Linked DNA regions of Notamacropus eugenii. The protein of the gene in region 1 binds, or shares a complex with, the protein of each later gene. Links are inferred from orthologs where the notes say so. Each region holds a gene or a part of one and is shown in the gene's direction. Other genes may lie near its edges. The genes, in order: PRPF8, AAR2, PRPF6 and LSM3.

The links.
Region 2: PRPF8 (region 1) and AAR2 share a complex: the UniProt entries of both Homo sapiens proteins name them as parts of the U5 snRNP complex. The link is inferred for Notamacropus eugenii from reciprocal best matches to the Homo sapiens genes PRPF8 and AAR2.
Region 3: PRPF8 (region 1) and PRPF6 share a complex: the UniProt entries of both Homo sapiens proteins name them as parts of the U4/U6-U5 tri-snRNP complex. The link is inferred for Notamacropus eugenii from reciprocal best matches to the Homo sapiens genes PRPF8 and PRPF6.
Region 4: PRPF8 (region 1) and LSM3 share a complex: the UniProt entries of both Homo sapiens proteins name them as parts of the U4/U6-U5 tri-snRNP complex. The link is inferred for Notamacropus eugenii from reciprocal best matches to the Homo sapiens genes PRPF8 and LSM3.

Annotation. Positions count from the first base shown.
Region 1 is NC_092873.1:39,717,313-39,724,434, reverse strand, and holds the start of PRPF8 (pre-mRNA-processing-splicing factor 8), read left to right. Parts: upstream 1-4,109; 5' UTR 4,110-4,203; intron 4,204-5,035; 5' UTR 5,036-5,046; coding exon 5,047-5,146; intron 5,147-5,376; coding exon 5,377-5,545; intron 5,546-6,237; coding exon 6,238-6,402; intron 6,403-6,488; coding exon 6,489-6,707; intron 6,708-6,862; coding exon 6,863-7,075; intron 7,076-7,122. UniProt on the Homo sapiens protein: Plays a role in pre-mRNA splicing as core component of precatalytic, catalytic and postcatalytic spliceosomal complexes, both of the predominant U2-type spliceosome and the minor U12-type spliceosome.
Region 2 is NC_092872.1:420,100,969-420,108,684, forward strand, and holds the start of AAR2 (protein AAR2 homolog), read left to right. Parts: upstream 1-4,709; 5' UTR 4,710-4,863; coding exon 4,864-5,611; intron 5,612-7,716. UniProt on the Homo sapiens protein: Component of the U5 snRNP complex that is required for spliceosome assembly and for pre-mRNA splicing.
Region 3 is NC_092872.1:496,238,637-496,245,823, reverse strand, and holds the start of PRPF6 (pre-mRNA-processing factor 6), read left to right. Parts: upstream 1-4,167; 5' UTR 4,168-4,994; coding exon 4,995-5,635; intron 5,636-7,187. UniProt on the Homo sapiens protein: Involved in pre-mRNA splicing as component of the U4/U6-U5 tri-snRNP complex, one of the building blocks of the spliceosome.
Region 4 is NC_092874.1:429,469,772-429,476,669, forward strand, and holds the start of LSM3 (U6 snRNA-associated Sm-like protein LSm3), read left to right. Parts: upstream 1-3,883; 5' UTR 3,884-4,008; coding exon 4,009-4,029; intron 4,030-5,245; coding exon 5,246-5,356; intron 5,357-6,898. Other genes in the region: XPC (DNA repair protein complementing XP-C cells), read right to left, coding at 3,613-3,685. UniProt on the Homo sapiens protein: Plays a role in pre-mRNA splicing as component of the U4/U6-U5 tri-snRNP complex that is involved in spliceosome assembly, and as component of the precatalytic spliceosome (spliceosome B complex).

The DNA of each region.
Region 1 (7,122 bases):
AAATTCTACTTTTTACTGTAAGCCTTAACCAACCTCTCTTCCTTCCAGGGCTTTCCCTCTTTTCATTATTTCCTTTTTATCCTATGTATAACTTGCTTTCTATGTATTTGTGTGCACGTTTTCTCTCCCTTAAGGGCAGGGATTGTCTTTTGCTTCTTTTTGCATGCCTAGTGATTAGCCCAGTGCCTGGCACATAATGAGCATTTAACAATTGAGAGAGTGTTATTGCTACACAACCACCTTATTAATTCTACCACCCCCCCCCCAATTAATCTTCATAAAACACTTTATAAAGCACACCTTTCATTACAATACTCTCTGACTCATTTTGCAGATGGATCCTGAAGGATGAATTCTTCCCGAGTAAACTGTTAGCTCCTTGCAGGCAGTGATTATGACTTGCATGTTGTTGGTCACTAGGGGGTGCCATAGTGCATGGAGCACTGGGCTGGAAGTCAGGAAGACCTGGGCTCAAATTCAGCCTCAGACACTTACCCAGCTGTGTGACCCTGGGTAGGTCACTTATCCTCTGTTGGCTTCAGTTTCCTCATCTGAAAAAAGGGGATGATAGCAGCATTTACCTCCTAGGGTTGTTCTGAGGATCAAATGAAATAATAATTGCGCAACACCTAACAGCCAGTGTAGTTTAGTTTAGCACTTGGCACACAGTAGGTGCTACATAAATGTGCTTATTCCCTTTCTTTTCCCTTTGGCATCCCCCAGTGCACCTAGAATAGTGGGAAATGTGGAGTAGAGATTTTTTTCTCATCTTTTCATTAAAACAGAATCCCACTTAAACTAAATGTCCCACCAGAATCCTGGCCGTGTCCATATGCATGTATGTGGGTGCTTCTCGTGATGCTCTCTCTGACTTTGTTTCTTCTCTTATTTCTTGCTTTCCATTTTCTTCTTCTTCCCTTTAGTCTTTCTGTCTCTGCCTCTTGACCAGCCTACTAAATCTCTACTCTGCATTTAGCACAGTTATTTTTTTTTAAATTAGGATGAAGGTATATTAGGTGGGAAAAAAAAGAAACTGAGGTTCATCCGGACAAATGGTTTATTTATTTAGCAATGCATGGGATTGCAAAACAAACCGGGTCCAAGACTCTAGGTAAACCAAGGACCCCTAGGTTTGGTTTCTATGAAGTTAATATACAATTTGAACAGAGTGGAAAAAATGAAAAATAGGATTATTGGGATTAAGACATCTGGTTTCTTACTAGTAGAGAGTGAGAAATTCAAATTAATTCCACCTTGTAACTGATTCTATACTGTATTGATTTTTACAATTGAGTCTGCATCTGCCTAAAGCCACCTAGGTCCTTGAGATGAGCTGAGGAATTCTGATTTCCCTCTGAGTCACTTTAAAGTTATAATTAAAAGAAAAGTTGTCATCTTTCATACTGGTAGACCTTAGGATACTTCCAGGACATCCAGGACATCTGTTTGTTATCTTTAAGCTTCACAAGTTAACTTGGTACCATCCTCAAAAGATGTGTCATCTGTCCTTGCCTTTCCTTGAACAATTAGGAGAGTTTTGTCTCTTCCAAGGAGTTAGCAACCCTAACCCTAAATGCTCATTGGTAGCTTTGATCCCTTAGCAAAGATTATAAGATGGGGAGGGGTCCCATAAAACATTTAACATTCCTCAATTGTTTGAAAGGGGTGGCTACTAGTCCCACATAAATGCTAGCCTGATTTCCTTGATACAGTCTCTCATGTTGTCTCCATGGCCACAAGGCTGTTTATCAGTAACCAATCACATTGTCTTCCCCAACTACCCAATGCTGTACTTCTCCAAACTAAATGAAGGCTGGCAAGCCCTACCTAGGGGTCTTTGGTTATTGAGAGGCCATTGATTCAATGTATTGGATGCTGTTACCCTAATAAATTGGTGATGTTGGGAATCTTATCTCTCAGTTTACCTTTATTTCCAAATGTAATAAGGATATCAGGAGACACTGAGGTGAGAGGGAGAAGGGGAGTTTTGTGATATTTCTTAAGTTGGGGGACCTTTGGGAGAGGGAGAAATCTTGTGACTTCTTCAAAATCCAGAATGTGACTTTACAAACAGCTGAAACTTTAGCTTCACAAAATGGTGGGTAAGGGAAAAAATGGAATCATGAATGCTATTTTTTTTTTAATATAACAGGTACCAGCTCTAAGTTCCCTGACCCAATGTTGGTGTTAATCCTTCAGTTTTGAAGAGTCTTGACTTATTCATGAACAGAATTTAAGTGAGGCTGAATTGCATAAAGTCACCAGCCTCACTCTCCCAGAGTCATCCAAGTCCAGTGGCAAAACAAAAGTCTGAACGACTGGGGATGATCCAGGATGACGTTGGCGTCTTTGATGTCTGACCAAACTCTAAGCCCTCCACATTGTATACTTCAGCCACCTTCATGGCTGTTGGAACAAATTGTTCTCATCTACCCATTCCTCCAGAGATAGTTTTCACAAGCTTGGGCTAAACATCCTCCTAATTCATTGACAGGTTTGAGGTCTGTCAGTTACCCTCAATCTGGTTTAGCCTGTCTACTGAAACTTTATCCAGCCCTGAAAAGTGGTTAGTAAGCCCTGCCACCACAGGTGCTCATCCTCCTGAATACCCCATACACCTCCGACCCCATGAAACAGTCATAGAATGTCAGAGCCACAAGGGATCTAGTCCCAACTCTCCCCACTCACTTATGATGTTCCATCTCTGGTCTCTGTACAAACTATCCCTCCTTGCCTACTCATTGCGCATTCCTAGCTCCTAGAACCCCAGTTCCTTCCAGATGAAACTCAAGCAACAGCTCCTTCAACAAGAAGCATTTCCTGATCTCTCTAGTGGGGTCATTCCTTAAACCACCCTGCATGGTTGTATATATTCTATATGTGCTTATATAGGTGTACGTGGTCACCCTTGATAGAATTGCCCAGTACTTGGCTAAGTAATCAGGGTAGTCAGCATTCATACAGCATCTGAAGGTCTGCAAACTGCTTTACCCATATTAATTCATCTGATCATCATATCAACTCTGGGAGGTAGGTGCTGTTATGACTTCCATTTTACAGATGAGGGAAGTGAGGCAAACAAAAATTTAAGTGACTTGTCCAGGTTTGAACTCCAGTTTTCCTGACTTCAGGTCTTGCTGTTTTAACTTAAATACTTGTTGGTAGTTTGATTACTGTGAGAAAAGGGTTCTGGAAACCTTATAGAGGAGCTATATTATTATTTTACACAAGAAGAAACTAGCTACTGGGAGAGCTGGGACTCCAGAGAGCTGGAACAAGTAGATCTGTGTCTACCATGCGTCCCTGGGAGAAATGAAAATCAGGACATGGAGAAAAGAGAAAGCCCGGAGACACCGGGAGAGGCAGCCATGGAGACAAGAGACAGTCTACACTCACCAAGCGTGCTCCTACGGGCAGGTCACCTTGAGCCTCAGTTTCCCCAGCTTTAAAACTGGGATAACGAAGTCCACAGTTCCTACCTCGCCTGGGTGTTGAGGTTCTAAAGCGATAATGCCCTTGCCAAACCTTAAAGCGCAGGCACATTCCCGATTGCTCCATCCTTTTCATCCTCATCATCACAGTTTCTATTTATTATCCTCAGGGTGGCTGCTTTGGTTTGTTGAGTGGGACCTGTGATTTCCTAACCAGGTAAACTCAAGGTACCTGGCCGGATCCGCACCTGGTCCAGGGGCACTAAGGAATTGGACCCAGGTCTTCTGAGGTCCACGGTCAGCCCTATGGCCAGCTTTAGGGTTCTGACTACGGGTCTGGAGGAATCAAAAAACCTTTGCATACGTTTCATTTGCATAAATTATGCAAATCAGTGTAATACCTACATATTTGCATGAAAGCCGCTGTTCAGGGCCACCTCAAAGATCGGGGCGGGGCCAGAGCTTCTCCGAGCTGGGAGAGCGCGAGCGTGGGGAAGGCGGGGCTTATCCTCAGAGCTTCCCGCCCCCTTTCTGGGGCCAAGCCACTCTAACGTCTCGACCCGCCTCCTTCATCCGGATGCTTGGCGACTATTGGCTATGACCAACCTCCATCTTCTTCGACCGACACCGATTGGATACTAGTTTCTTTCCCCCCCACCCCCTCCTCGGTAGCTCCTTGCGCATTTCCGGGCGTTGGGAACGTGAGGCGGACGTGGGATTGCCGCCATTGCGTTTTCGTAGAAACTGCAAAGTGACTGCCGGGTGCTGTGGGGTAAGCAAAGGGGAGTAAAGGGCTGATGGCGCATGGCTGGTCAGGACAGGGGCGCGCGGGAAGGGATGGTTGGTACAAAGAGGTGAAGGAGAAATGGAGGGGGCGGGGGGGGGGGTGATGCTGGGGGAAGTGGCTGCAGTGTGAGGGAGGGAGCAACGCATGCGCAATGAGGTGGCGGGAGCGCGCGGGGCCGAGCATCTGGGAAGGGATGCGCAGTAGGCATGCGCAATGAAGCAAGGCCCCTGAACGAGGCTAGAAGGGGATATCAGGGTGAAAGGGGTAGAATGGGGCGCATGTGCAGTGGGAGGGAACGTATGGAGTCGAGGCTGTCCGGGTGAAGGGAGCAGGGTCGTGGTGAGGGGCAGTCTAAGGGAGAAGCCCCTTGGGGGTAGGCCGGGCTCCCTTGAGCGCTGCAGGCGGTGCTGATGAAGGCCTTGGGGGGTGGGGGGGCCCTGAGGACGGTAGGGGAGCTGCCGAGCGCACCCAGAGGTGCGGACCCGAGGTCCGTGAAGGGGACGATGCAAGAGGGCCAGCCAGGAGGTCTAGCGATGGGGGGATGGGAGGGGAAGCTTGGGGAGGGCGATCGAGCCACGACCCAGGCTCCCACTGCGGGTGGACACAGCCAAGGGGTCAGGAATGGGGGAGGGAGGCGGGGAAGGCACAGGAGTGAGAGGAGGGGTGGCAGGGAAGACCAGGGGGTCGCATTCATGTTAATATGAGTGTAGAGACCTGGGCATGGTTGCGGAAAGGCCCTAGAGAGTTTCCAGATTGCCCTTACCCTCCTTTGTGGTCATTTAGAGAGACTTTACTGAGTTCCATTACTATTCCCCAGGTTCTCCGGACATGGCCGGAGTGTTTCCCTACAGAGGGCCGGGTACCCCTGTGCCCGGCCCTCTGGCACCACTGCCCGACTACATGTCAGAGGAGAAGCTTCAGGAGAAAGGTGAGAGGTCTGGGAGAATTAGGCTGGGAAGTGGGGTGCTGCTTGGATCAGGTCCCCTGGGCACGCTCCCTCAGTATTCCCTGAGAATTCAGGTTCTGGCCTGTTGCTCTCATTCTTGTGAAAGAAAGCATTCTCTGCAGACCTATCGGGAAAGCATTTAGGAGTGGCACCTTGGGACTGGGGATGCTCACATGGGGTAGACAGTGATACAGTCTGGGTTTCCTCTCCAGCCCGAAAATGGCAGCAGTTGCAGGCAAAACGCTATGCAGAGAAGCGGAAATTCGGATTTGTAGATGCACAGAAGGAAGACATGCCTCCAGAGCATGTCAGGAAGATCATCCGTGACCATGGGGACATGACCAACCGGAAGTTCCGTCATGACAAGCGAGTCTACCTGGGGTGAGGAGATCCAGGGCTTAGAGAGATGTGAAAAAAGCAGAAAGATTGTTATTCCCTGAGAGTCCCAAGCAGCTGCCAGTTTGGGCTTGGTTGGATCATTGTCCTCATAAAACTGTGATTGTATCCCCAGGCTGTTTGATATTTTTATTTCTGCCCGTGATTGCTGCCCTCCTTTCTGACTGTAGATTGGAGTCCTGGACAACCCTTCTGGATAACACTTGTATGAGTAGTGCCATTCTTAATGCCCTTTGAGGGAGGGAGCTCCAGCAAACCCAAAAATTTACATTCTGTAGTTGCATTGTTGCATGAATTTTTTCTGTCATTTTAGGCCCAGAGTTCTCCTCTGTTCTGGCATACCCGAAAGTATGAATTCTTTTAAGGTATCCAGAACATAGAAACAGTAAAGCTGGTTGCCTCAAGTTCTCTTGTTCCTTTTACCTTCTCTGCTTCTGAACTCTAAGCTGGAGGCTGGATGGGTGGAGGGACCAAAACTTTAACAAATCACTGCCTCCACTAAGAAACAGAGAAACTGACAGTGTGATCACCTAGCCATGGGAGTTTTGGAGTTGCCAGGGCAATTGATTTCTGGAAAAATATGACTTGCATGGAACAGTGTAGTATTTGGGATAGGGAACAGAGAGCATCATGGGAGTACTGATTTTCTGTCACCCTCTGATTACCCAATGCCACAGTGCCCTGAAGTATATGCCTCATGCTGTCCTCAAGCTCTTGGAAAACATGCCCATGCCCTGGGAGCAGATTCGGGATGTGCCTGTTCTCTACCACATCACTGGAGCTATTTCCTTTGTCAATGAGATTCCTTGGGTCATTGAGCCTGTCTACATCTCTCAGTGGGGGTAAGGAAGACTGGGGGATGCTTGGGTTCTAGAGGTTGTCTCTTTGTTCTCTTCTGGGATTCTGATTGTGATGTGGCTCACCCCAGGTCCATGTGGATCATGATGCGCCGAGAGAAGAGGGACAGACGGCACTTCAAGCGCATGCGTTTCCCCCCATTTGATGATGAGGAGCCACCCCTTGACTATGCTGACAACATCCTAGATGTGGAGCCTTTGGAAGCCATTCAGCTGGAACTGGACCCTGAGGAAGATGCCCCTGTGCTCGACTGGTTTTATGACCACCAGCCCCTAAGAGACAGCAGGAAGTGAGTTCCCACAGGCTCAGATCAATAGACCAGACTCAGCTGGCAGGAGTTGTTGGTCCTCTTTGGGTCTGTCGAAGAGAGATTGGCTTTAGGAATGAATGCTATGGCCTGAGTAGCTGCTATTGGTTTCCCACTTTTGCCCCCCTTGTTTCCAGGTACGTGAATGGCTCCACTTATCAGCGCTGGCAATTCACTTTACCCATGATGTCTACTCTTTACCGCCTGGCCAATCAACTCCTAACTGACCTTGTGGATGACAACTACTTCTATCTATTTGACCTGAAGGCCTTTTTCACCTCAAAGGCCCTCAACATGGCCATCCCAGGGGGCCCAAAATTTGAACCACTGGTCCGAGACATCAATCTTCAGTAAGTGTCCTTAAAAAGAAGGGCTTGCAGGGTCCCTGGTTTGGGTC
Region 2 (7,716 bases), on another chromosome or scaffold:
GCACTTAATATTTATTCAGTGACTAAATGACCAAGAAAGATTAGGGCTGGATATATAGATTTGGGAATATAGAAATAATTGACCCTATAGGGAATGGTGAGATCACCAAATGAAATAGTATAGAGTAAAAAGAGAAGACAGTCCAGGACAGAGCCCTGGAGGACACCTGTGGTCAGTGGGCATGGCATGGATGAAGAACTAGTCATGGAGAATTAGAAGGAGCAGTCAGGCAAGACAGCTAGAAGAGAAGTGTCACAAAACCCATAGAGCTTAGAGTTTCCAGGAGAAGGTGGTCAACAGCATTAAATCCCACAAAGGGATTTAGGAAGATCAAGATTGAGAAAAGGACATCAGATTTTGCAATTAAAGGTCATTGAGATAATTGGTAACTGTAGAGAAAAATGTTTCTATTGAATTATTAGAATGGTTAAATGACTGGAGTTCAGATTAGTATTAGAGATTAGAATGCTGTTGAATGGCTAGAGGTTAGAAGTCGGATTACAGAAGGTTTCAAATAGAGTAAGAAGACGGGAGGTGCAGCGTAGGTAGCTTTCTCAAGGAGTTTAATTTGAGATGACAAGATAAAGGACTATCACTAGTGGGGATGGTAGAATAAGGTAAAAGTTTTCAAGGATGGAGACTTGGACATGTTTGTAAGTAGCAGTGAAGGAGCCAATAGATATGGAGAGATTCAGTATAAGGGAAAAAGTAAGGGTAAAAGTAGAAGCAATCTGCTAGAGAAGATGGCAGAAGACAGTATCAAGACTGCATATGGAAGGTTGCCTTTGAAGGAGGGCCACCTCTTTATTGTACACTAGAATGAAGAGATAAGCAGGGAAGATATCTGATTGAAATGAGATGAAGAGGAAGGGAAAAGGGGGAGTGCTGGAGTAGCTTCATTTTACTCAATGAAATATGAAGGGAACTCTTCATCTGAGATAGTGGGGGTTAGGGTGTCATGGGAGACTTAAGGAAAAATGAGAATGTTTGGAATAGCTATTGTGGAGAGTGGGGCAGCAAATCAATTAGGAATAGAATGTCTTGCTGTAGTGAGGGCCCATTTGAGATTATGTAACCTAAATTTGTAGCATAGTTAGCAATTTTGTGATTTCCTCTAGCTCTGTGCAACAGCATGTGGATAGGAGCAAAGGAGGCAGATAGTGGCAGTAGTCCAGGGTTTGGGCTTGGCAAGTCATGATTGTCAGTAGGACAAGGAGTCAAGGGAATTGAGGGTAGAGGACGGTATTGCTGTTCATGTTTTGTTTTCACAGAGGACAAATGACATCATAGTGTGATGTCTTGACTCTTGAATGAACTGGATTTAAGTGAGGAAAAGTTGCACAATTTTGTCAGCTTCACCCTCTCTTCAAGAGTCATCAAAGTCCAGTAGCAGGACAAAAGTCAAGACAGTTGACAATGGCCTGGGATGTAGTGGATGACCTTGGTGTCTTTGATGTCTGACCAAGTTTTAAGGCCCCCACAGCCCCTGTTTTAGTTGCCTTCAAGGTTTTTGTAACAAATTGTTCTCATCTACCCATTCTGCCATGCTTGGTGTAGACACCTCCCCAACTCACCGAGTTACCCTCAACCTGGTTTAGCCTGTCTGCCACACTGGCGTGTGGCCACTATTCATGCTATAGCTTTTTGGAGCCACAGGTGAGAACTGGGTGAAAGGTATGCACCAAAGGTGGATGAGCAGCCCTGAAAAGATCTCAGCAAGTCCTTCCTGATCTTCTTAAAAAGCAAGGTGTAAGTAAAGGAGACTGGAGGATAGTATGGAGTTAAATTGGTTCATTAAGAGTTCAAGATAGGAAAGGGAGAAAAGTATAGCCAGTGTAGGTATGATGACCTGGGAAAGAACTGAGGGATAGAGAGAATGGAGGTCATAATGAAGATGAAGATAAGATTAAGGGTTATAAAAAGTGGGGAAGGTGAAAGGAAAATAGATTGTGAAATAAAGGATTTTCAGAGCTTATGAACATGGAAGTGTTATGGGTAATGGGTTATGGGCAAGGTCAAAGGTGTGACTATCTCTTTGTGTAGTTGAGAAACTAGAAAGCTAGAGTATCTGAGAAGGTATCAACACATATATTGAAGTTCCCTGATATGAGGATAGGAGTTAGGGAAGAGAGAAGGACTTCGAGCCCTGTTTTTGATGTAGATGCTTGTTCCCTAATATAGTGTTCCTGATTCTTTGCTGAGCTGGAATCTTGTCCTGAGATTTGTTTTCTCTGCAATGCTGCTCTCTGCTGGTCTTTAGCTCCTGTACAACTTCTTTCCCAGTGGCAGGGAACCTCTTTTGTGATTTCAGATGCACTTGGGCATTTAAATTGGTCTTTTGAACTTAACTCCACAGCTATACTTCAGACTTTCAGTGTAAATTCTAATTTGTGTTATGATCAGAAAAGTAATTTTCATTCTTATCTTACCCATGAGAGCCTGCAGATCACCCCAGGAGTTCCATTTAGCAAGACTGCAAAGGACTTCAGTGGAGCTATGGTGAGATTACTCTCTGTGGTCCACACAATAATTCAATAGCAAGACTAGAGAAAAGCTGTTGAATGGAGATAGCAACCGTCCCCTCCTTTTGTTGTCCCATTCCCCACTCCCATCTGTTATGGAGGAATAAAGGAACTGAATAATTGCCTCTGGGCAATGATGTATTGGCAATGCATGTGGTTGCAAAACAAACCGGGTCCAAGACTCACGGTAACTAAGAACCCAGAAGCTTTGTTTCTCACAGTTAATATATAATTTAGAAGGAGTAGAAAAAACTGGAAAAACACAGGATTATAGGGATTGAGACATCTGGTTTCTCCTTGGTGGAATTTGGGATGGGGGAGAGGATCGGAAGACACTGAGATGAGAGGAAGAGGGGTATTCTTGTGACATTCTTTAAGTCAGGCGTGAAACCTAAATCAGGTGACTTACGTGGATTTGAAATATTAACTTCATAAAATGGTACATAAAAGCAAAATAGAGTCACTAATACTAATTATCTTAATCATTTGCTGTATTCCTTTTGGGGATTAGAGGACAGGCAGTGGAGAGGCATATGATCAGCATGAGTAAGCTATGACACACTAATAATAATTGTTGACATTTATAGAATGCATGGTGGTTTGCAAAATGTTTTGCGCGCGCACGCGCGTGCGTGCGTGTGTAATTTACAACTAACCAAGCAAGAAAAGCAGAAAAAAAGGATGCCATCAGATATACTGTGGTCTACTGAAAAGGAAGGTGGGCAGGTCATACTGAAAGAGGGAGGCATAACCAATAGATAGTCCTCTTGCTGACATACATGTAAGGTTGAGAGAACTAGAGAAACACCCTTCCCCCACCTACCTCGAAGAGTTGTTGTGAGAATTAAACGAGGTATTTGTAAAATGCTTGCCACCGTGCCTGGCACATAGCAGGTACTTTAGAAATGCTTATTTCATTCCATTCCATTCCATTCCACCATCCGAGTACACTGAATGGTCCAATGGAGATCCTGTAGATGATTTATGGAAGGATGTGGTCAATAATCACAGAGAATGATAGGGTGTTTATGGGTGGTGATTTGTATCCTTGGAAGTTCCTACATGAATGAGATCATCCAAGTGTGGAAGATGGTAGAAATATTCTCTCCATGGGACAGGATGAGTACCAATTAGGTTAAATCAGCCCAAGGTTCCAGTTAAGAGTGTTACAGGGCACCTCTTCCAGATAGGGACTCTCAGGTGGAAGTCCCTCAGGTGTCTGGATTGGGGAAAGAGAAGATCCAGGTCCATGGCAGCAAGGAGGGTTCTCCTGGAAGAGAGACTAACCTTGTTCTTCTTGGCCCTAAAAAAAGCAAAACTAGGAACAGTTGGTGGGAATTAGAAAGGTAGATTGTAGATCCACCTCAAGAAAAATCTTCTTAAAAATCTAAATTTTCTAAAAGTGGATTGAGATGCCTTGTGAGGGAGTGGATTCCCTGTCACTAAGGTCTTCGAGTGAAAGAAAGAGGGCCACCGATGGTCGACCCTGTAGAAGGGATGGCTGCGCAGATCCTGGTGGCAGGTGATGCCTTCCAGCTGTGAACATCTGTGAGTGTGAGGCTTGGTGACTGGCTGCCTGGGTGGGGCAGGACCTGGAGCAAACCCATAGATAGACAGACAGACAGACAGACAGACAGACAGACAGACAGATAGATAGATAGATAGATAGATATGTAATTTACGTAAAAAATTGAGTTTTGAATTCTCTCAGTCTTCAGCCTCCCCATGAGAAGACAAGAAATGTGATGAACCAATTAAACATGTGAGGTCAGGCAAAACATTTCCGTATTAGCCATATCGCGAAGAAAACGAGAGAAAAAGGCAAGAAAGATGACGAAAGGGAAAACATTATGTTTCAGGCTGCACTCGGACACCATCCGTTCCTTCCCTCTGGAGGTGGGCAGCATTTTTCATCTAAGTCCTTCGGAATTGTTTCGGATCCTTGTATTGATCAGAAGAGTTGTCGGTCGATAAACACGTAGTAAGCGCTTACTACGTTCCAGGCACTGTGCTAGGTGCTCCTCTAGGACTCCGAGGTCTAGAGCGTCAGGCACTCTATGGGGACACCAGGGGTGGCAGGCGGAACCCAAGGATGTAGGAACCCCTCTCTCACCGCCCCCGGGTGGGAAGGGAGCATTTTCCCCTTGCACCCGCGTCCCCATCCCGGGAGGAAGCGGCCGCACTTCCGGCGCACGGCGGGAGCGGCCGCTAAGGGGAAGCTGTCAGCCGGGCCTGGGAAACGATCCCTCGGGGCGCCTCGGCCGCCGGCCCTCAGTCCTCCGGGGCCCCAGCGTCCCGAGCTCGGGTCAGGAGGGCCTCGAAGGGCGGCTGGGCGTCCCCGATGGATCCGGAGCTGGCCCGGAGCCTCTTCTTCGAGGGCGCCACGGTGGTGGCCCTGGGCGTGCCCGAGGGCACCGAGTTCGGCATCGACTGCAGCTCGTGGCAGGTGGGCCCGCGCTTCCGCGGCGTCAAGATGATCCCCCCGGGCGTCCACCTGGTGCACTACAGCGCGGCGGGCCGCAGCCCCTCGGGGACCCGCGAGACAGGCCCGCGCACGGGCTTCTTCGTGAGCCTGCGGCCGCGGGCGCTGCGCCTGCTCCGCTGGGACGCGGCCCGCGAGGAGCTGGACCTGAGCCCGGCGCCCGAGGCTCAGCTGGAGGCCGTGCGGGCCAGCCTGCAGGAGCTGGATCGCTTCCTGGGGCCCTACCCGCACGACCTGCTGAGGAAGTGGGTGTCCCTGAGCAGCTGCCTGAGCGAGGAGGCTGTGCGGCGGCTGCAGCCCGAGAGCGGGCAGATCTGCGCCTTCTCCGAGGTGCTGCCCGTGCAGCCCCTGACCTACACCAAGGACCGCGCCGAGCGCGGCCCGCCGGCCTGCGGCGCCGAGTGCCGGAGCTACCGCGAGGGCCTGGCCCGCCTGCCGCAGATGAAGCAGAGGGCCGGCACCGAGATCCGCTTCACCCCGCTGCCCAAGCAGACCTACCCCGACGGCGCCAGCCCGGCCGAGATCACCAAGCACAGCATGGACCTGAGCTACGCCCTCGAGACTGTGATCAGCAGGCAGTACTCCGCCAACCCCCAGGATGTCCTGGGTAGGTATGACTGCTTCCCTTTTGTCCCGAAGGTAAGAGAGGTGGCCGAAAGTCCAGGCGGGGTCGTGAGAAAAGCTCGAAATTTGGAGTCACTGGACTCAAGAGCCCAGGCTTTAGCACTCACTGGTCTTGGACCAGTCTTCACCATCCTGCCGTTTTAGTCAAATGAAGCCTAAGTTTTATGAGTTTTATGTATTATGAGTATTATAAGTTTTATTAGAGCTCCTGGAGCTCTAATAAAACTTATACGAAGTGGCCTTGATAGATCCTAACACTTTGGTAGCTCCTCTTAAGGAATTGTAGATTGTCGGATCTAGCACAGAGTCCAACTTCTCCTTTATGTTGCACATGACTTGATGCCCAGGGAGAAGAAAGTACTTGCCTAAGACAGTCTCCTGTCTCCTACTGTAGAGCATATCCAGCAATTCTATTCAGCTTTCCTCTTCAACATTTAACAAATTGTTAAGTATATGTACAGAACACAGTAGGAAATAAAAAGATAAGTAAGACCCAACCTCATCTCTCAAGGAGCTCAATACAATACTACAGTTAAGAGTATACAGATAAATATAATACAAATGGAATACGGAGTACAAAGAACTATGAGATCAAGTTTCTAAGTGAAACAGTTGTAATATGTGACCTATAAGGTCCCTTAGAACTCTACATGCCATGCCACTAGCCAAAGAACTTAGATAAAGGTTCCCAGAGGAACTAGAATTTGAGCTGGACCTAGAATGACCATAGGATGTCCAGAGGTGGAGATGAAATGAGGGACATTCCTCTTGAACTATTGAATCCTTTTACAATTTTATTCCCTTAATTTACTTTAGAGTCCTGTCACAGGATGTGCAGAGCTCTCTTGGGTGCTAGTCTGGTTGCATAGTCAGTGAACCAAGAATTAGTTCTCTGAGGTTTATAGAATTTATTCATGTGGAATGTTGCACTTGTAAAGTTGATTAGTGTACAGCAGGATTTTTTGGCTACACAAAGCCTTACAAAGCACTTTTCAAGGTGTAATAAATTTTTACAGTCCTCCTGTGAAGCTGAGATAGCACTGCCAGTCACCCACAGAACACTCAAGTTTAGTTGCTAAGCATTACGATTTAACAGTGTTTGTTTATTACAAAGGTAGCTGGTGGAGTTGCAGCATTTAACACATCTGCTCACCCTGATGGCTCATCGTCATTTCCCCCATTGGCCTCCTGTTGCTCTCTTTGAGGAATAGTTTATTCCATTGCTCTATATCCCCTAGCACATCCTGTAGTTCTCATTCCCCTGTGATTTTTCCTGCAGTTCCTGAAATGCTTCCCCATGTCTCCAACATCTGTCCAGTCCCTGGGTAATTACAGCGTATAAAGCACTGGATTATGGGTCAGGATGCTTGAGCACTGGGGTTAGTTCTGCCACCTGCTCACTATGTGATCTCAAGCAAGTCTACTCTGAGCATTGGTGTCCCCATCTGTGAATAAGGGTGTAAAATTAGTTATTTCTAATATACCATTTGACTCAAAAAATTCTGAGTCCTGTGAGTCATAAATCAGATACATGCATTGCCCCTAAGAATTGTGAGAACTTAGAAATTAAGTTAAGATAATTTCCCTTTAGAGCCCTGCACTTCAGGCTCCATTTCTCAGAACTGTTAAGTTGGCATTGAAGTTGCTCTTGTTTCATTCCCCTCCCTTACCCCACAACTCTACAGTATTTTTTTCTCCCCCAGTTGCTTCTTTTGAAGAAAGAGAATTTATGAAGGTCCTTCCAAATCTATAGCAAGGATGAGTGGGAATTAAAAGGTATAATATCCCTAGGCACATGCAAACAGACTAGCAGGTCTGGGAGATATAAGAAGGAACTGGAAATAGTCAAATCAGGGTTTTTTTAATGGGGTACCAGGACAAACTTGCTCAGTTACTGCACACAGGTAATAAGCATTTGTTAAGGGCTAATATAGGGTGTCAGACACTGTGCTATGAGCTGGGATACAAATTCAAACACCTGCCTTCAAGGAGCTTACATTCTATGGGGGGAAGATAGCACATAAAAAGAGATGTGAAAATGGAGTGGAGGGACATGAGGGATGGTGGCAGTCCAGAGAGTCTGAAGCA
Region 3 (7,187 bases), on another chromosome or scaffold:
TACTTCTCCGAGGAGAGGTATAGGTGATCAGATTTCCAAATCAGGCGCAGTTTCCTTCCATACAAGATTTAAGGACAATACTCTGGCTGAGGGAAATGAGGAGGTAGAGACTGAACTCAGGTAGTTTTTGTCAAAAGAAAGTAAGTTTCCAGGTGCTCAGGACAATTGAGATATCTTAAGGCGGATAGGAGCTGGGTGTCAAGCCACCATTCCCCAAGGGGTATCCTAGATTCTCTGAATCTGAAGATCTAAAGGGGATGTAAAGTCCTTAAAAGTATGGATTGTCTCACTGTTTCAGGCAGAACTAAAAAGGTGACTCATCAATCAGTCAATTAATGGGTGTTTATTACATGCCTATATGCCAAGCACTGTAAGCACAGGGGATATAAATATAAAAATGAGGTAGTCCTTGTGCTTCCTTTGAATCTTTGAATTCAGTGAGGCTGAGATTTTCCTCATGGACTTTGGAAATTCATGATACTCCCTCGTCTTCAAGATATCTCAGATGTCCTGGGCACGAAGGAACTATCCTTCCTTTGGATAAAACCCCCCAAAATTGAAGAGTAGTCCTGTCAACCGTAGATATAGTCCAGCTCTGAGTGAACTCTGTGATTTTTTTTCCCCACTTAATATTATTTTATTTTTTCCAATTATATGTGGACAGTTTTCAACATTCACTTTTATAAGAGCTTGAGTTCCAAATTTTTTTCTCCCTCTCCCCCTTCCCAAGATGGCAAGCAATCCGATGTAGGCTATACATGTACAGTCTTATTAGAGATATTTCCACATAAGTCATGGTGTTAAAGGAGGAATCAGAACAAAAGGGAAAAACCACAAGAAAGAACAAAAAAGAGAAAATAGTATGCTTTGATCCGCATTCAGACTCCATAGTTCTTCCTCTGGATGTGGACAGCATTGTCCATTATGAATCTTTTGGAATGTCTTAGACCCTTGTATTGCTGAAAAGATCTAAGTCTATCAATGTTGGTCATTGAACAGTATTGCTGTTACTATGCACAGTGCTCACTTCACACAGCACCACGAACTCTGATTGTTTTTGGGAGAATAATGTTGTCTATATCTCACTTATACCTAATTCTAGGTAAATTAGAATTTCATAGTCAGACTCCTAGGGAAGTTCTGTGAGGGAAGGTCCAAGGCAGGAAGGTAAACCAGCCACAATATAAACCTCCAAGGAGGTGAAGATCCTTCAAGTTTCCTTGGTCTAAGTATAGATACCCCATGTACCATAGTTTCTCAAATTTCTGGGTCTCTTTACAGTAACTCCTAGAAATGATTGAGGCCATCCCAAAGAACTTTGGTTCACGTGGAGTTATGTGATATTTATTGTATTAGAAATTAAAATGTCTTCATATAATTATAAAAATAGTTTTGACTCCATGGACCCTCCTGAGAATTGCTGCTGTAAACCCTATGCTGCAAAGAGAAGGTCTAAATATTTCAAAAGAAGGTTTGTTAAGTCAATGATAAAACAAAATAACATGTGACTATGATCTTCAGAATATGTAGTATCTAAATCTCTGAATTCAGAAAGGTTTGGTTGGCAAATTTTAGGGACTCCATTCTCTATTTTCTATTTGCATCCTCAACTTTTGCCTCAATCCTGTTTTAGAAGCCTTGGGAGAGCAGCCCTTCCTTATCTGATCCCAGGGCTTCCTCCCAGGAAGAGGGAGAGATCTCTTTATCCTGGTGGAGTAGCTTGGTCTCTCTTGGAAGACCCTCTCTCTTTCTAGGGTTCTGGCTCTATACATTTTAGTCTTATTTTTTTTTTTTTTTACCGTAGTCTCATTCCTATTCTATGTCCCTGTGGCTTTACCCTGAGGGGCTGCTGCCACACCTACACGCTCCCACAGCCAGGAAGTGACGGTCTCCCTTTTTGTTGCCTAAACATGCCCACAAGTTTCTGAGGCCAATTTTTTGCCAGGGAAAACAGAGAAGAGTTGATGACTGACAGGTCCTAAAGTTAATGAACGTTCAGCCCTTCCCACTTCCACAAATTGGCCCTGTGGGAGGGACTCCTGTGAGTTTGAGGAGTGAATACTAGGAATATGCTAGAGTCAGCTCAAACCTCTCAAAGAGAGAGCTAAATGTTAAATTTTCTCTGTGTGTATTTCACCTCAGAAATTAGTCAGTGTTACAAATCAGGGTTTGAGCTATTGCTTTGTTGATTGTCTAGACTTAAGGAAGTGATGGAGAAATTGTTAGATGAAGAGTAAACTTATTAGTTTGCCATATGTCCATTTTTCCAGAGAGCCGGTTTTTAAGCATTTACTCCTATACCCCTGGGTGATGTGTATGGGGTGGTGATGATGGTATTAGTAGAAGAGTTCATAGTTTCAGGCCCTCCAACTTCTTCCCTCAGAAGGGGCTATCAGAGCAGGGTACCTAACAAGGCACCTGGGGCATTTCCTGTGTGATCTTGGACAAGTCTCTTCCAGATGAGTGGATTGATAGTTATGTAGGTCATATACTTGCCACAAGTCTGGGCCAAGGAGTTATAAGGAGAAAATGGTAGCATGCTGGTAGGTATAGAGATACTCATGTGTATATGAGCAGGAATGTGGAATATAAGGAAGTATGGGGGAAGTTTGACTCAGGGGATGTTGCCCCTCCATTCTGATCATTTTCTCTTTCCCTTCTACTGGTTCTGAGGTCTGGTGGCTGAGACATCAATTAGACCATACTGAATGACCTCACTCTAGTCTTCCTTCCACTCCTGAATGTCTCAGGACAGGAGCAGAAGATCTCTATGTCATAGGATCCATCTAGCAGTGGCTACAAGAGCTGGGGAACCCTGAGAAGGGGATAAATTAGAAGCTGGTGTGTATGGGAAGGGACATGTTAACCTGTCTAGAAGAGTCCTGGCTATCAGAACCCCAGAACCACACCGGGATAAAGTGAAATTTAAAGGAGATAAAAGAACAAGTACACAACTGAGAGATGGCTTGGAAAGGTCTTTGGTACAAAATGTTCTGTTCAGCATTCAAAGCCCTTTATAATTTAGCCCTCTCCTATCTTTCCAGTCTTCTTACACTTTATTTCCCAGTACATATTCTTCAATCCTGTGACATTGGCCTCCTAGCTGTTCCATGAAGATGACACTCCATCTCTCAGTTCTGGGCATTTTCTCAGCTGTCCTCCATGCCTGGAATGTTCTTCCTTCACTCTAACTACTAAGTTCTCTGGCTTTCTTTAAGTCTCAGTTAAAATCTCACCTTCTACAGGAAACCTTTCCTAACCTTTCTTATCTCCAGGGCCTCCCCTCTATTAGCCATTTCCTATTTTTCCTGTAACAGAGCTTGCTTTGTATGTATTTCTTTGCATGTTGTCTCCCCCTTAGATTATAAGCTTCTTGAGAGTAGGGACATAACTCAAAATTATACAAGACTCCTCAACAGAGGTATAGTTGTGTGCCCCAGTGAGACTTTAGCAAAGCTGAAAGGTAAGGATGGGTAAAAATACAGAAAAATGTATGGTAAAGTCTTTAAATGCAAAATTAACATTCCACATCTTTGGAAAGTTCAGATGCTTGAACAGCACAGTTGCATATGAAAAGCAGGGTGGCTAGGTGGCGCTATGGCGCACAGATTGCCATGCTTTCTGTCAGGAAGCTATACCTTCCTGAGTTCAAATCTGACCGCAGATACTTACTAGCTGGGTGATCCTAGGCATGTGCTGAACCCGTTTGCCTCAGTTTCCTCATTTGTAAAATGAACTAGACAAAGAAATGGCAAACCACTCCATTGTCTTTGTCAAGAAAACTCCAAATGGGGTCTGGAAGAGTTGGACATGACTACAATAACTGAACAACAACAAAATTCTCCTCATTCCTCCTGCCAGAAGCTCATGGTTGTTGTATTATATAAGATAATAATTGTAACACAATAGTGCCTGATACATAAAAGTGCTATATAATGTTAACTATTATTATGTACTCTCATTTCTTTTCCAATTTGTATGACAGATTCTTCTCAATCTCCTTTGCTGGATCACTGTCCATGTACTCTCCCCTGCACCCCTGAACCCCACCTCAAGGTACCATGTACCATCTTCATTTCTGTGCCAAAGTCAAATATTCTTAACTTTTTTGGGGGGGGAGGGACATTTTTGGCAGTCTGGTGAAGCTACAGATCCAATCTCAGAATAATTTTTTTTAATGTATAAAATATAATACATACAATTGCAAAGTAAAAAAATTATAGTGAAGTTATAATCAAAATATTTCTAAAAACCCAAGCTCTTAGTTCCCAGGTTAAAAGCCCCTCTTGTAGGTGATCTCATCAGCTTCTCATGGATTCAAATGTCATCTCTGAATGTCTGCCCAATCTACATATCTAGCCTACATCTCTTTCTTCAGTTCCAATCTTACATCACCAACTCCCTGCTGGACATATTTGCCTTGCCTGGATGCCCTGTAGGCATCTCATACTCAACATGTTCACAACAGAATTTCACAATCCTCCTTAAGCCCACCCTTCTTCTTAACTTCCATGAAGGCACCACAATCCTTTCAATCAGGTTTCCAAACTATGTTGGGCATCATCCTTGACCCTCAGGTCTTCCTTAACCCCTATATCCAATGAACTGCTAAATGTTATTGGTCTAACCTTCACATCTCTCACATCCTTCCCTTTCATTCATAGTCAGTCTTGGGTAAAATACAATCTCCTTCCTTTAGTCTGCAGAGTCCTTCCAAAGCCTCTTCTCAGACTTACAATCCTGCCTTTCAGCCACACTGACCTACTGGTCATTCCTCTGAAGCCTGTCTCCTCTCCTTGCCTTTGTGCACTGGAGACTTCTCCCCTCACCTTTGCTTTTTGGGCTCCTTCGCTATTTCCGTATCTCGGCTCCAGGCTAATGCCCTGACCACGGACTTTTCTGGTTCCTCGGTGCCACCCCCTGAATTATTCTGTATTTATTAGCCTGTCACTTTCCCCAGGGTGGCACGGAAGCCACTTGACTTGACGGTACGCATGATTTCATTTTTGTCACTCTATCTACAGGTCCTAGCAGAATACCTGGCAATTTTAGCAAGTGCTAAATCAAAGCTTCTTGAACGAACTGAATTGTGTTTTCGTGCGTCCGTGTTCACGAGCTGGGAGCTTTGTGTCTTTACGTTACGTGTATCGTATCCGTGGGCGGAGCCAGGTAGGAAGAGCGTGGGCAGCTTTATGCGGGGAGGGGGAGAAGCTGTGTACCTGCGCGCATGTGCACAAAAGGCGCTCCCACATTCCCACGCTCCCGGCGACCTCCCCAGAACGGATCTCCTACGCATGCGTAGACACCTACCACTTAGGGCCCTCGCTGTTTTGACACCGTCGGGCCGGAAGGCTAGGGAAAAAGTGCTTCCTGTCAACCTCCAGAGAGGAAGAGGAGGGGTGGGGCGTCGCAACGGAGACGTTCTACACTTCCGGGTTTCGGGTGACGTACTTCCTCCTCCTCAGGTCCGAGGTTCTGCGACATCTCAGTCTCGGAGGAGTACTTTGGGGTGTCCCCCTTGGCTTCCCCGGAGATCCCCGGCTTTCCCGCTACCAGCAGACACCATGAACAAGAAGAAGAAGCCGTTCTTGGGAATGCCCGCGCCCCTTGGCTATGTGCCGGGGCTGGGCCGCGGGTGAGCGGGGACTGCAGCAGAGCCGAGGCCGGGGCCCGAACGAGAGCGAGACGGCCTTGGGCCGGTGGAAGCTGCGTCCCTCATCGCTCCTCCGCCCTCTGGTCGTCCGCCCGTGCCCTCGGGGGAGGGGTGGGGAGCGGTGGAGGCTGCTCTGGGGGGGCTGGTCTGTCACACACACACACACACACACACACACACACACACACACACACACACACTTTCCCCACCCCATACTTATCGTCCTTTCTATTCTCTTTTCTCTCTGTCTCTCCTCATCCTATTTATCCCTCCCCTGTCTTCCTCTCTCTTCATTCCCTCCGATTCCCCAGCAGGCCTTGATCTTCAGTTCGCTCTCCTTACCCATCTTTATCCAAACAAGTACTGCCTCCTAATAGTGACCACCGTTCAGTACTAAGTAAGCCGCGGGGTTTGCCAAAGACTTCTCTTGCAACCCTGCTGTGACTGATGCAAGAATACATCCCCTACGTCTTACAAGTCGGATACCTGGGGTTTAGGGAGATTAGATGCTTTGCCACCTGAGCCAGGAAGTGTCACTGCAGGGATTTTCAATTTCGGGATTCCTGATTCAGCCCAGGGCTCCTTCTGGGAAACCCCACTGCCTTACGTTCAAGCTCTCTTTCTTGATCCTGGATTGGACAGATTGTAACATTTCATCTTTCCTACCTGTAGCTCATCTTTCGTCTGTCTTAATTGATCCAGTTAGGGGAAAAAACTGAACACAATGTCCTTTCAGCAATAGACCAGAGATTTCATCTTCCTATACAGTTTAAAGCATTTAAGTTTTGTTTTGAGAATACAGCAATGCTTAATTTCCGTTGAAATAGCACTGTGGCATGTTGAAATTACTTTTTCCTCCCCATAAATTTCCCTTTACTAGAGAAATAAAAGTGTTTAGGAGTATGCTAGAAAAACAGAGGAGGGAAATGGGTGTAAGGGTAAGGTAGATGAAATGACATTTTGCTCCCTTATCTTCCCTAGCTTACTTCATGTCTGTTAAACCCCACCTTCTACAAGATAACTTTCTTTCCCAGTTGTCCTGAATATTAGTGTTTTTCCTCTCAGATTTTCTCCATTTTGTATATAGTTGTTTGCATGTTATCTCCCATCATTAGGAGTCCTTGCTCCTTGAGGGTAGAGACTGTTTTTGCCTCTGTCTCTGTATCCCCACTGCTCAGCATCCTGCAGCATAGCACCTAATGAGTATTTTTTGACTTGATTGAAATCTGTTAAGAAGTAATATGGCTTCATGGATAGAGGCTTCACTTGGATTAAAACCCTGCCTCTTATACTTATTAGGTGTGTGACGGTCCAAATCAGTTAACCTTTCTGAACCATGGCTTCTTCAAATACAAAGTGGAAAGAGTAAGAGATGTACATACCTCACAGGATTATTTTGGGTCTGAAATGAGACAACGTGTAAATCACTTTGCAAACTTTAAATCTTTATATAAGTGTCATATATTGATATTAAACAAATATCTTAAACATTTGTGGAGAGTGATCATATATCAGTAGCTGAATCCATGCCATT
Region 4 (6,898 bases), on another chromosome or scaffold:
TTTTATTCATCCAAGTTTTCAACACCTGTCCATGCCCCCCCATCAGCCAATCAGTTGTCAAGTCTTGTGAATTCTACTTCCACATCTGTCACATTCATATTTTTTCCATCCTAGTTTGAGGTCTCATCACCTCTCACCGGATTACTTCGGAACTGTTCTCCCTGACCCTACCATCTTTCCTCTCTAATCTATTCTCCATGGGGTTGCCAAATAATTTTCCTAACAAATGGGTGTGACTAGGTCAGGAGAGACAGGTCTGACTCCCCTGCTCAAGAACCTGCAATGGCTCTCTATTGTCTCTAAGATAAAACACAAACTTTTCAGTTTGGCATTAAAACCCTTCACAGTCTGGCTCAAGATGTGCTCCGCATTGGCACCCTTGGGGCATTCTCGATGCCAGCCAAAGTGGCCCACCTGTTGTTCCCTGAACTCAAAATTCTCCCTCTCCCTATCTCGCCTCCTGTAATCTCTCCCTGAGACTCCCCCGGCTTCCTTTGGGTGTGCCTCCTAAGGAAAGCCCTTCCTGACTACTCTAAGCACTTCAGTTCTCCTTAAAGTCCTCGGGTTAGGTGGAGTTTATTTGGGCCAAAGGCACATATCCTTAGGGCAGGGGACTGACTCCCTTCTGTAGGCACACAGCAGATGCCTGCTGAACGAATATGTGTTAAATTAATAAGTTTGAGAAACAGCCTGGGAATGAGGATTTCTACTTCAGGATCTGGCCCTAAGCCACTGGACTAGGTTAGAGGTATTTCAGTCTTTCCATCCTGAAAATAAGGATGTTACCTCTTCCAAAGGTATCAATGACCTCTGAACCATTCTTTGAGTTAGCAAAAGTGACCCTGTGTATGTCATGTCTGCCTCGGGGCTGGAGATAGTCCTGAAAGTGCAGAAAAGCCGTAAGCCCCTCTGTTCTCAGTGATGGTTCCATGGACCAGAAGGACCCCTGACTACAACAGCTACATTGACAGTTGTAAGAAGAACATAAAATCTAGAGAAGAACTGGGAAGCAAACAGAGGCGCCCTGATATGAACAAGAAAATGAAAATGAAGACATTCCGGGGCTGTTGATTTGTGTCTTCTTACTGACAAAAAAAGCACTGCCCTTGTTTACACTTGAGGAGGATGTGGCTGGGATCCCGCTGGGAGCATCTGCTGCTTTTCTGACCGGGGACCAAACTTCTCTAACTGGCAGGACTCAGGGGAGATCTGATCACAGCTCTGAGGACCACTTCCGGTGACTTCTTCCTCAGTCAGACCACAACTCATTCAGAGGAGCCTGACTTAAGTGCTTGTATAGGCTAGGCCTTGGCCACTTCCTTTGTACCCTCAGTGATACAGTGTATTTCTTGTAAGCACTTTGTTTTGTTTTTTTAAAACTGAATTAGAACAGAAATCTAGCATTCTTCTAGAAGGGACAACAGGTCAAATCCTGGCTTGAACACATCCTTGCTCTGAGACAAGAGGCAAACCTACTTAACATCTCTAAACCTGTTTCCTTATTTATAGAATGCATATAAACATAAAATGTATATGCCAGGCTGAATTTCCTACCTCAGAGCTGTCACTATAGTTAGAATTTGTAAGTAAAAATCTCAAAATAAGTGGCACAATTTAAGCTTTGCAAATACTATGCAACATAAGCTTACTGGGGATTCTACATTCTTTGGGGTAATAGAAAATGAACCTGTCATGCTATGGGACAACTTTCCAGATAACTGGCATAGTGTGCCAGGGCTATAAAGGGCCTTAAGATTCATCCAGTTCAACCCTTTTTTTAAAACAAGTAATGACATCTTTCAATCCATACTTTCTACCACTGCAAGATTGATTTTTCTCATATAAAGATACGATCAGGCTGCTGTTCTGTCCCCAAATACTTCAATGACTCCCTATTATGTGCCAAAGTCCAGATTCCCTGGTCTAGTACTCAAGGTCCTGAAGGCTGTGGCACTACTCACTAACTATTCAGCTTTATTTCACAATACTCCTCTCTTCAAACTCTATGCCCCCACCCCCTGCCAAAATGGAGGACTACTCCCCCAATACATTGTTTTTGCTTTTTCCCAACTCTGGAGGTAACTTTTCTCAAACAGTTTCCTACATGTTATTGTCTCCCACCTCCAATCTCAATCTGCAAAAATGCTACATATCTTTCAAGACCTGCATCAAACTTTTCCAGCCTCTAAGAAAAACATTCCTTGATGATGCCTGTTGAAAACGAACTTTCCTTCTTTGGATGTGGCATTTGCTTATGTTTTATTTTGAATTACAATGAACAGAATCATGAATCTCAGAGACTGAAGAGCTGGAACCTCAGTCCAACCTGATCGCATTAGTGTGGAATTTCCCCCTAGCGGAATGTAAATTCCTTCAGGGCCATGACCTTCCCTTCTCTGGGGCTGAGGACACAGAGAACACCTCCTAACAAGTATTTGTGGAACTGAATGAACACTGAGGCTCAGCCATCCTTTAGTGCCTTAATCCAACAATCAGTCAATTGACAACCATTTATATTTAAATGTCAGCTTTGTGCCGGCTCAGGGGCCACAGAAGAAAATATGAAACTGCACCATCTCCTGCGTGAAGCATTTCTTGATCCTCCAAACTGCTGCTGCCCTCCCTCTCAAACAATCTCTTACTTAATAAATCTGGGCATAAATGGGGATGTATTCCTTAAATTTATCTTGACACTGTCCACATTTTTTATACGCACTTGTTGCCTTCTCCATTAGAAGGTACACTGTTCACTTGTAATGCCTGCCTCTAGAACAGGGTCCAGCTTAGTAAAAACCTGTCTGACTGACTTATAATAACGACGATAGCTAACACTTACATAAACACTTACATAATACATGTGTCAGGAACCATGTCACACATTTTTAAATTAATATCTCATTTGACTGATTATCACAACAAGGAGAGGGAGATGCTATTATTACTCCCCACTTTACAAGATAAGGAAACTGAGGCAAACAGCTTAAGTGACTTGCACAAGGTTACACAGCTAGTGTCAGGACTGGTTTGAACTCAATTTTCCTGACTCCAAGCCTAGCACTCTATCCACTGGGCCAAAGGAACTTACACTACACTCTTGGATAGATGAATGGATAAATGGATAGACAGACACAGACACAGATGAGACAGATGGACGGATGGAAGGATGGATGGATAAACGGATACACAGATGCAAATGGGACAGATAGATGGATGGATATGGAGATGGACAGATATTTAGGTGGATGATAAATATTTAAGTAGATGGAGAGATATTCTACTGGATGGGTGGATGAAAAGGACATAAAATGGATAAAGGAATAGCTATTGAGAGATGGTGGATGGAGTGTATATACATATACACAAAAAGAATGCAAAGTAACTTCAGGGAAGGTGGCTTCTGAGCTGTGCTTTGAAGGAAACTCGAGCACCTGAGGGACAGCAGAGATGTAGGGAGTGCATGCCAGGCCTGGGGGACAACCTAGGCAAAGGCTCGGAGGCGGGAGACGGAGCGTCACGTGGGCGGCTCAGCCAGAGTTCTCACCCCCGCCAGTCACACACCCCCCAGCCCGAGGAGACGCCAAGCCCACCGCCCCGCCCGGTCCCCCCACTCACCGGGCTCCGCTTCCTGGGTCCGGGCCTTCTTGGGGCGCCGCTGCTCCTCGCAGGACGCCCGCTTTCGGGCCATGCTGCACGGTCTAGCCCAGGAACAAGCCCGGGCAGCGGCTCAGGCGCGGGGCGGGGGCGGGGCACTAATCCTCCCCGGGCGGCTAAAGCCACGCCCCCTCTCCGACCTCCGCAGACAGACCCGAGGTGGAAGTGAAATCCACTAGGCGAGCGCAGGGAACCGCAAGGAGCAAAGCGTTCCTTACGTACTTCCGGTAACAGCAACCCTTTCTCTGCACGCCTCCCGGGCATTCGTCATCACGTTTGCTCTCGCTGATAGGCTGGCTGCCGCGAGAGCGTATACGTCATCTCGCGAGAAGCGGGAAAAGCAACCGGATTTGAAACATGGCGGACGATGCGGATCAGGTACGTTGCTGGAGAGCCTCCCTTTCCTCTGGGCTATTTCAGGATGCTTTTTGGAGCAGCCCTTTGCTCCTTCTTCCCGGATCCCGTCAAATCTTCCCTCCCCGCCAACCCTACCGAGAAATTCTGTAGTAACGGGGATTCTCTGAAAGTCTTGGGCTCCGAGTGGAGAAAGCCACGCCCTCCTCCGCTTTGTCACTGGCTGGCTGAGCTGTCTGTCACCTTCCGGCTAGCCAGCCGGAGTTTTCATTGGCTAGTCTTCTGGTCGTTGGCTGGACCGCCTCCTCCTGATTTACGGCTCAGCCAGCCAATGAGGGAGGACAAGTCTGTCCTGCCCTCCCTATCCCCGCCCCGAGTCCGCAGCCCTGGGAGGCTTGGCTTTAGCGTCCCAGAAGCCCCTTCCCCTGGCGTGCCCGCGGAGTCCCCCAGCCCACGCCGGTCCAGCCTGCCTCGGGTGGACAGGCTTTCTTGCTCCTTACCTCTCGTCTCCGTCTATTCCTTTGGAAAGCTTCCTTCTGCACGTTTGTAGTGACAAGGGTCTTGGGGGTGCTCGTTAATCATTATGCCCTTTGACCTCCCTCCTAACGATAAGAATAGCATGTGTGAGGGGTTTAGCGTGTGCAAAGCTGATTTTACAAGTGCTGTCTCATGTGATCCTCACAACAACCTGGGGGGGCGTTGTTATCCCCATTTGACCGCTGAGCCGACTCAGGCGGGCAGACGTGCAGTGACTTGCCCAGGGTCACACAGTGAGTGTCTTCCTCCCCAGCTCTTCCCTTCTCATCTGCAAGTCCCTTCCATTTTCAGCTTTAGTTGCCACTTGTCTCTGTATCTAAAGCCCAGCCAGATAAAGGGGACAAATACGTTTTCCCCATCCCACCACTCTTTTACAACCATCAGGCCCTCCGTTGCTGAAAATGTGACATTCTGCACAGCACCCTTAAACGTTTGCTATCTCTGAAGTGTTCTAGCCTGGCTGTGCTGCCTGCCCTGGGAGCCCTAAACAACCTTCAGGTGACAGTACTTTTGCCAGGCTGGCTTCTTGTAAAGAGGAGTTAAGGAATTCATTTTTAATGGAGTAACCTCTTGTAAGCTAGGTCAGGTGGAAACTGTAAGTGAAGAAATAATTGCCTTAGTGTCGGTTCTACAAAGAGCAGGTGGGTAATGTGCTGGAGCTCTTCTGGTGGGTGTGCATCATTGCAGTTTTTGTTTTTAACAGCAACAGACCACCAACACTGTGGAGGAGCCGCTGGATCTCATCAGGCTCAGTCTGGATGAGCGAATTTATGTAAAAATGAGAAATGACCGAGAACTACGAGGAAGATTGCATGTGAGTGAAGCGTTTCGAATCTGGGGCACACTGCAGATGGGGTTTGTGATTTCATCAGTAAAAAAAACTGAAAATGGGGGAACCCCCTCTATCAGTGCAACTCGGTGCCTTCTTTGCCAGCATCACAGAGATGTTAAGTCATTTGCTCGGGTCACAGTAGGTATGTGTGTCTGAGGGGGCACTTAAATCAGTTTCTGAGTCCAAGACCATCTGTCTACCATACTGACCTGTGTCTCAGTAGGCTTTGTAGTTTCCTCTAGAACATAGATCACATTAATGAGATCCACAGGAATTCTTTTCTATTTGACTTTGACACCACTGGTTTAAGGAACTGTGCTGAGGTTACAATATCGTGCCTGCCCCAGGGGGCATCCATTCTACTCGAAGGATCCAACATGTACATCAGTAATTATAAATAAGGTGTGAAGGGAGGCAGCGAGATCAGACCTTGGGTCTATTTTGTGTGGCCTGATGTGTGTGTCCCAAATTCTCTCCCTCATCTAACTGGGAGCAGAAGGGGCTTTTGCTTTTGTCTTTGCATCAGAAGTGTGTAGCACATAACAGGCACTTAAAAGATAATTAATTAGAAGTTAATTACAATATTCTAGAGTATTTGAGGAAGGAGAGAACCTTCGCATGTGAAGATGTCAGGAAACACTTCAGGGGGGGAAGGGATACCTGCTCTGAAAGAAGATGAGAGGTTTTGTTTGCCAATTGAGGGCCTGAGTTTGAATCCTGATTATACCTCTTATACTTGTGTGACTTAAGGCAAGACATTGGAACTTCTCTGGGCCCCATTTTTTTTGTCTATGAAGTGAGGACATTGTACAAGATGACCCCTAAGATTCTTTATGATTCTCAAGTCTTTAAGTTTACTAAGTAAGGAATCAGAAAGGTCAGTTGGTCAGTAAACATTTTTTAAGCACCCACTATGTGCCAGGCATTGTGCTAAGCTCTGGGGATACAAAAAGACCCATCCCTGACCTCAAGGAATTCAGAATCTAAATAGGGAGAAAACAAGCAGACCAGTATGTACAAACAAGCTATTTATACTGGATAAATAGGAAGTAAAAGAGGGAAGTTGCTGGGATTAAGAGGGCTTGGGAAAGGCTTACTGTAGAAGATGGGATTTTAGTTGGGACTTAAAGGATGCTAGAGAGGTCAGAAGGTGGAGCAGAGGAGGAATAGTATTCCAAGCTTGGTGGACAGCCAGGGAGAATGCCCAGAGATGGAGAGTCTTGTTTGTGGAATGTCCAGGAGGCCAGTGTCACAGGATTGAAGAGCACGTGGTGGGGAGTAAGTTGTAAGAAGACTGGAAAGGTGGGAGGGGGCTGATGATAAAGAACTTTGAATGCCAAACAGCATTTTCTATTTGGGGTTGGAGGTAATGGAGCTGTTGGAGTTTATTGAGTACGGGTGATGGTGATGTGGTTGGACCTGTAGGGGAGAGAGAAATAGTGAGGAGTCCAGAATGACTCCTAGGTTGTGAGCCTGGGTATGGGAAGGTAGAAGTGGGGAGGGTTCAGGGGGAAAGATAATGAA